Linked DNA regions of Elephas maximus indicus. The protein of the gene in region 2 purifies or fractionates together with the protein of the main gene of each other region. This does not show direct contact. Links are inferred from orthologs where the notes say so. Each region holds a gene or a part of one and is shown on either strand. Other genes may lie near its edges.

Region 1 (3,748 bases), on a different chromosome or scaffold from region 2:
GGCAGAAGGCTGCAAAGCCACACCTTGGCCCATGAATGATCAATAGAAAGGAGTAATGAAAAACACAAACTGTGTCCCTTCCCCAGAGGTGCCCGTGTCCACAACCTCTGTGGGTGGGCTGAATGAATACTTACAATCATGTCCTCGTGGGAAGTATCCACGGTGTTAATTACTGACACCTAGAAGCAAAATATTTTTGGTAAATTAACTGATGGCAGTTAGAATGCAATCTTCTTATTAAACCCACCAACCGTTTCTAAAATTCTTGACTGCCATTTGTTCATTCATTTAACAGTCATTCTTTTTGCCAAGCACTATGCCAGGGACTGGAGACATAGACATGAATAAAAGGTACTCTTTGCCCTTGAGAAGTTCACATAAAATAACCCTAACGTGGCATAAGTAGATGCCGAGGTGGTGGTGGTAGAAGACATGAACCGGGGCTTAGATGATGAGTGAAATTTGCCAAGTGGCACAGGGGAAAAAAAGGACAGTCCAGACAGAGGGAACAATATGAACAAGGACAAAGAGGTGTGAAAGAGCTTGATGTGTGTAGGGGAACAGCAAGCAGTCCAGGCAACCACTGAGGTGAGGAGGACCTTGAGAGAGCTTATTGGTTCCCTTATTGGGTGACAGAGCCCTGATGTTCTGGGCAGTTTCTGTATAACAGGGTTCATACCTAAGACTTGCAGACTTGATTCAAATTCCTTCTGAGGATGCTCCCTGGTCCATCACCTGTGACAGACCTGAGGCTATCACCTAATGGGGTCTAGGACTGAGTAGTTTGTAGGGCTAGAAGATGGCTGTCATGGTCTTTGCCTTCCTACCCATGTTTCAAGGTCCAGCTCAAATAATACCCCCTTCTGGACAATTCCCAGATCCTCTAACTAGGTGCACTCTTCTGAATATCTTCAGCACTGAATGTCTACAACACTCCATGTTATTTCTTCTCCCCACTAGAAGGTGAGCACCCTGGGGTCAGGGTCTGAGTCATCTGCCATGTTTAACCCCCTCATATCATCCAGCACAGTGTCTGCAAACAGAAGGAACTGAGTGACTATTCACTGAATGAATAAATGAGTGAACAAAACTGACCACTATTCTTTAAATTTTTTAGGATGGAAAAGGGCACTGAAAAGGAAGTTTCAATTTGGAACTGATATTTCTAACCGTTTCCCCTATTTCATCTTTCCTGCACAAGCCCTGCAGGGATAAAGTTTGACTTGACTTTTCAGAAAGGTGGACACTGGAAGAGGACGGCTGCAAAGCAGCTCAAAAGGTACACATCAAAAGAGCCCAGGTTCTTTCATCAAATGCTAGACTCCCTAACAAGTGGGTGCACAAGGTCTGCGAAGAGAAGTAAGGACGATAAGAAGAGTTTCCTGTGTGTGCAGAGTTGTCTAGGTTACGAAGAGCTTTCACGTGTGTGCTGGGATGTACGAAAGACAGAGTTAATCAGGGCTGTCTAACAGATTAAGGAATGGAAGCCTAGAGTAGAAAAGCACTTGCTACAGCCACAGAGCTTAGAATCAAGGCCGATCTCCTATCTCCCAGCCCACAAAGCTTCCCACTCCATCAGGCTGCCTATTTAGAACATCCCTTAAATCCAATAGCTGAAGGCTGAACAGATTCAGGAAGAAAGTTTACTGGGAAGTAGTTCTATACCAGATCATCAAAAGACCTTAGAGATAACCAGCGTTTATTTCTAACCGCTCTCATCCACTAGCGAGGGCTGGTTAACAATGCTTCTGAACCAGTGTTGTTGTGTTTTTTAAAGCTCTGAGAGTACCTCCTCCCGAGCACCTGGAGTTATGTGGTCCTTTTTAAGAGGCAACACGCAAAACAATTCAGCTCTTCAGAATCAGTTAATGAGTTAAAAATTCATTTAGAATGAGCTGAATGTCAGAGCATAAGAGACCAGCAGCTGAAGAATCTGAGGCCAAAAGAGGCCGGCGATTTAATACCAAGGCTGAGCCTTCCCCTCTGAGCAAGAACTAAACCCAGTGTCCTGACTTCTGGGTCCACGCTGGCTCCCCCATGCCTGCTGATGAAGCGCAGCCGCTTTCCTGACAGCCTGCGTTTACTGAATCCCCACTCGGGGCCAGACTCGGGCTCAGGCTGGATGCTTTCAGCTCTCAGCTCTCGTCCATCCAGTCTTTCCCTCAACGAGGACGCGTCGCGCGAGTGCACACCGTGGACAGCACGGAGATAGGACACTCAGCCCTGCCCTCGGAGTCCTTCAGTTCATCCCTACGTCAGTTTCCTGCAGTGTCCCTCGCAGCTGGGGTACCTTCGGGGGACCCAGCACCCAGAAAGTCGACAGACATCTTTGCTGGGAGAGGGAATGGCTAAGGGGGTTCGAGTCTCAGCTCTGCCATTCAGCAGCCGTGCACGAGGCTTCAGCTCTCAGAGCCGCGAACTTCCTCGTCCGCACAACGTCGATAGTAACAGGCCGTCCTTCGCCGCGCGGCCGTCACGAGCGACGCCTGGACCTGACTGAGCGCTGGGGGAACAGCAGCTGCCGTGCTGCACTGTCGTTGTCTTTAATTGTTGAGGAGAGAAGGGGAGACGCGGCAGCCGCGCGGCCCGCAGAGCTCCGGGGCGCCGGCGGCCTCACGCGGGCCTCCTCCTCCGCCAGATCCCCCCACCCCGAACCGGCGGCGGGGGCTGGAATCACCCCTGCCCGGGTGGGAGCCTCAGCGCGGCCGAGGGACCAGCGAAGGCCAGCTCTGTCAGGACAGCGACCGGGGCCCGAGCCCCACTCGGCATCGCCGGCCCCGACACTCACCATGGCTGGTGCGGCGGCAGCTCCCGGCCTCGGACGTGGCAGCTCCCGGCGGCACCTCCGAACGCCCCACTTCCGGCGCCGGCTGGCAGGCCGTCGGGCCGTGGCTCAGGAGCCTCCGAGCAGCAACCCGCTCCGGCTCCCACGAAGGTTCCGTGCCTTCCCGAGGCCGCGTCCCGCCCTCCCGCTGCCCCGCCCCTTAGCCTCGTCCTCGGGAAGCCAAGGCGGGACGGCTCTGGTTTCCACGGCGTTCCTGACCCGGGACCGTTTGGAATCTGAAGCTCTGTCTCGCCTACCTTCCTGAGCAGCCCTTCCCTTTTCTTCAGACGCATCAATGAAAGAAAGGATCCTTAACTCCAGCTTTTCCAGCCTCCCTGCGGTTCTGGGTGCGACCTTATGATGAACTTTGTAGGTCGAACAATTTGGGGGCGGGGGTGAGTAGATTGGTGCTAGCCTCCCTTTTTGGTTAGCCCATCCTCAGGACCAAGGGCTGGGACAAGGGGCAAAAAAAGCTGAAACCTCTTGCCCCGCCCTCCCCAAGCCGTAGGTCCTGCGCCTCCAAACTGCTCCTTCTCCACAGCAGTCCCGGGACCCAGGAGTCTGGCCCACCAGGTAGATCCCCAGGCAAGGAGAAGCCAGGCTCCTGCAGCTAGAGCCCGGGACCCAGCCCCCAGTTTTCCAGCCCGCTCCCCCGCTGCCCAAAGGAGGGAAGCTGAGGGCTCCCCACAGGCACAGGGAGAAACGCTGCGCTTCTGGCCAGAGCCTGAGGCCCAGCCTTAAGCCACCTCGGGACTTGAAGGAGGCAGGGGACCTAGAGTGGAGTCTATGCTCCCCTTGGATAAGTCACAATCCTTCAATTTCCTCCCTTGAACGTGAGGAAAAGAACCCTAGCTGGAGACAGTCACTGCTTGAGGGAAGATGTTAAAGCTCAGAGAGTGTAACTGACCCAGACTGGCAAGGAGC
Region 2 (3,748 bases):
TAAAACTGAAACAAAAGTTACCTAACCTTACTATAGGAGATGCATGCTGATATTTCCCATTCTTTTCTATTTCATTTTTTTTAAAATGCTGGCCACAAACCACCAAGCTGGTTTCACTCACAACCTACAGTTTGAAAAACACTACTGAAGAAAATCACAAAGATCTAGAATCATTAAATCCTTAAAAACAATGACTCAGGCAGATGCTCTGAACTTCGCTCTTCCAGGCACCCAACCCCTCACTCTTAATGTTGCCTTTCTGAGCCGTATGCTCACTGGGTCTTCCCAACTTCCACTTTAATTCTCTGTCAACAGAACCTTCTAAATGTAACCACACTGGTAGTTATCACTGATTTGTGTGAACAGACTCTGGGATATATATGATCTAATGGAGGTAGGACTTGATTTTACAGCATCATTAATCCAAAAATGACTGGTTTGTTTTTAAACTTCATATACTTAAGTAACTCTTGAAATCGAACTGAATTTTGGACATGCAGTATTTGAAACCATCAAAGACCTAATTTGGTTGTGCTAGAATAAACTCATTCTGCTCCTCAAATTTATTACATTTCTCAATGATAGTGAAAAACTAGATCAACTACCTGTTTCTCTCCATTTAGGTATACGTAAACCAGAGAATACATAAATTTTGATCATCAAGTCAGACCTAGGCTTCATGCTGAATTGGTAATAGAGGCAAATGGAAAGATGAGACCTACCTTCAGCCAACGTTAGGGCCTCCATAATTTTAACAGGGAGAGAAGATCCAAACGTTTTCACATCATAGTTCATAGACTCAGTTACGGAGTGGTGCAGGAACATTCGTGTCGGTGTTCCTCTAAAGAAAAGCAATCACATTACTTTATTCATAAATTTTCATGTATATAATTTCTAATTAAAGAGTTCATTGACAAATAAGACACATGGAAGAAGAGGCGTGACAATGGGAAGAACTCTGGCTTATGCATACTTGTGTAATCAAATGTAATTTTTGTTAAAAAAAAAATACTATCGGGGTCTTAGGAAAACCTGGCTTTTCAGACCATTATGCTCTAGTAATTGGACAGATGCCTCTAGTCACTTAAAGTCTTTATAACTCTGCTTCCTTAACTGTCAAATAGGAGGGCTGGACTAGATCAGTGTTTTTCAAAATGCAGGTCAGTTTAAGGGTATCAGTCAACATATTTTCCAAAAAATATATATATATATATATATATATATAAATACATACAGTTTATCACATGTTGTGGTCAAAAAGTTTGACAAACATTGTGCTAGATGATCAGTAAGCTCTCATCTAGCTCTAAAATTCTAAGAACCTATCAGGTCTGTGCAGCAAGCATCTGCAGTTACCTGGTCTTCAATAGTAGATATAGCAGTAGAATTATATTCCCTTCTCACTCTCTTCTTCAAATTCAGAATCATGATGTAAAGCCACCATTATAAAAGTTATCCTATCTCTTCTTAGGATTAAATGAGGAGAGGCACATAGAGTGGTCTATAGCTAGAATGGCTTTGTTTCTTGACAGAAGTATTATAACAAGATTTTTCTTTGAACGATCAACAGATGGTAAGAGATTTTTTTTAATTAAATAAAACAGCTTTTATTCTCCAGTTTTTCTAAAAAGGAACAGAAAATAGTGACATCACTTTCAAAAGCACTTTTCAAGATCAAGCATCAGAAGTCAAGGCTATAACGCATTCTTTAAAAATCATTTCTCCTTTAAAGTACTGCCAACACTGTATACATAAAACTTAGCCATGAGTTCCAGACCCAGCATTACCATTTTTCCTCCAGGGGAAAAATTCATTTTTAATAGACAAATTCAGAGGAAACTACTTCGAAATAGATACTACTTTCTTCTAAAGTTCTAGCTTGATTAATGAACATGGAGGGGGGGATGTGGACAGCTGTTGTACATCTGTGTTTGGCTAGAAAACTACTATTATCTTATTCCTTATGGAAAGCCTTTTCCCTATTTAGCTACAAAGTGAAATTCTGTAGCTAAAAGCCCTTTAGTTATTAGAGGTACTAACGGCCTAGGATGTTAGGCACTATAGAATGGTTTTCTAGGGTTGGAGGTCCCCAGTACCACCATCACATCTGCATCGTGGCACTTCAGGACTCCCTTGGCCTTAGTCAAGCAGGCTCCAGGTCAGATATCTCACTAGTGAGAAGAATCCGAGTGACTTACCCCGGGTCACAGAGGTAGTAAGGGGGAGAGGGGTGATCACTGATTCAAATTCACTTTATTCTTCACCACAAAAGTAATTTCCACGAAAAGTGAAAAGCAATGGTGTACACCCGGCCATGGTGTACTGTAGTCGTTCTCAATTGATGGATTAACCAAGGGGGGGCTGAAATAGCAACTGGTAAGAGCGGAAAAGGTCTATTTTCCCAATATTGTGGAATTCCGCCCAAGGTTCCAGAGGCTTGGGGAGACACTACCCCATTGGACCCACCGAGACCCCTGAGCCGACCGGTCGTCGGACCTGCCTGGGGAGGAACACTTACCGCGAGCTCAGCGAGCTCCGCCGGCCGACCGGCGAGAAGAGCACGGGGGAGCTGACTGCAGACCCCAGGGACAGCCCCTTCCTGCTTGCCGCCCGGGGTGTGGAGCCTGGCCCCATCCCGCCAAGCGGGCCCCTTCGGGACCCGGGACCGGGGGTCCGAGGGGAAGAGACAGCCGGGAACATGATGCGAGGGAGCGGAGGCGGGGAGCCCGACAGCTCCGGCCTGTGCGGCTGAGACGCGGCGCGCGCGGAGCTTGAACACCGAGGGGCGGGAGGACTCGCGGTGATGACGTCCAGGCGCAGCGCCGAGCCGGGCCTGCGGGCCTTGCGGGAGCCGCAGCCTTCCGAGCAGACTGGGCCGGGGCGGCGGCCGTTAATGACGTCTAAGCGCAGCGCCGAGCTCGCGGGGCGTGCTCGGAGCCCCTGGAGGCTGACCGGGAGTGGCGGCCATTGATGACGTTCAGGCGCAGGGCCGAGCCCCCTGGAGCGGAGTCCTCTAGCGGGTGGGGGCTTAGGGTTGCTGCCGGAGTTTCCTGGGCCAGTGCGGCGGGCGTCCGGATCATGCAGGGGAGTCAAACTGGAAAACCAGTGGAACTTCCCAACTCTGCTGCCTCCACCTTGAAGCCTTACACAGAGTTGGGTGTCCTTTTATCCTTTGCCCCTCTGCTCCTGCACGTGGGGCATTTATATTTTATCCTCATAATAGTTTAATGTTTTCATTAACTGTCTCTCAAAGCAGGGACGGTGCACACTACAACAGGTGCATAGTAAACCTTCCCTAAATTTTTGCTGAAGTAAGGTAATAGTTAAGTAAACACTGGCGTATCATATGTGGGAAACCACAGTGTGGGTGTCAGATGGTGATATTTCCCTGGGAAATCATTCTTCTGTGCAACTTAATAGCGTCTTTGGTCATCTTGCCGAAGTTATGTAAGCAAACTGGTTTACTCCTCCTACCTAGGATTATAGCCCAGCTTTGCAGCGTGTCTTTGAGTCTTATGGCCCAGAGCAGTTCCTCCTGGTTTCATTCCTACTTGGGAGTGCACGGTGGGAATGGAGAGTAGTCATGTCTGAGAGGGGATTGGTGGGATAAATTCTGTTCCTGTGCTTTGCTGGACTGATTTGTGATTTGCCCACCATTCAGTTATAAAAACTGCTATTTTCAGGAGCTAGAATGACTGCCCACACCTTTGAGCAGGAACTTCCCTGGGGTCCAGATGCATGACTATGG

The links. Proteins that work in one complex are often made in the same cells at the same time.
Region 1: the proteins of NUP133 (region 2) and SEC13 purify together in Homo sapiens (affinity purification with mass spectrometry; 4 studies listed by BioGRID and IntAct, counting the BioPlex papers as one, with this or other methods). This does not show direct contact. The link is inferred for Elephas maximus indicus from reciprocal best matches to the Homo sapiens genes NUP133 and SEC13.

Annotation. Positions count from the first base shown.
Region 1 is NC_064838.1:35,210,370-35,214,117, forward strand, and holds the start of SEC13 (protein SEC13 homolog), read right to left. Parts: upstream 2,894-3,748; 5' UTR 2,792-2,893; coding exon 2,789-2,791; intron 180-2,788; coding exon 135-179; intron 1-134. UniProt on the Homo sapiens protein: Functions as a component of the nuclear pore complex (NPC) and the COPII coat. At the endoplasmic reticulum, SEC13 is involved in the biogenesis of COPII-coated vesicles.
Region 2 is NC_064821.1:210,143,905-210,147,652, forward strand, and holds the start of NUP133 (nuclear pore complex protein Nup133), read right to left. Parts: upstream 2,883-3,748; 5' UTR 2,701-2,882; coding exon 2,519-2,700; intron 1,624-2,518; exon of another isoform or gene 1,357-1,623; intron 842-1,356; coding exon 723-841; intron 1-722. UniProt on the Homo sapiens protein: Involved in poly(A)+ RNA transport. Involved in nephrogenesis.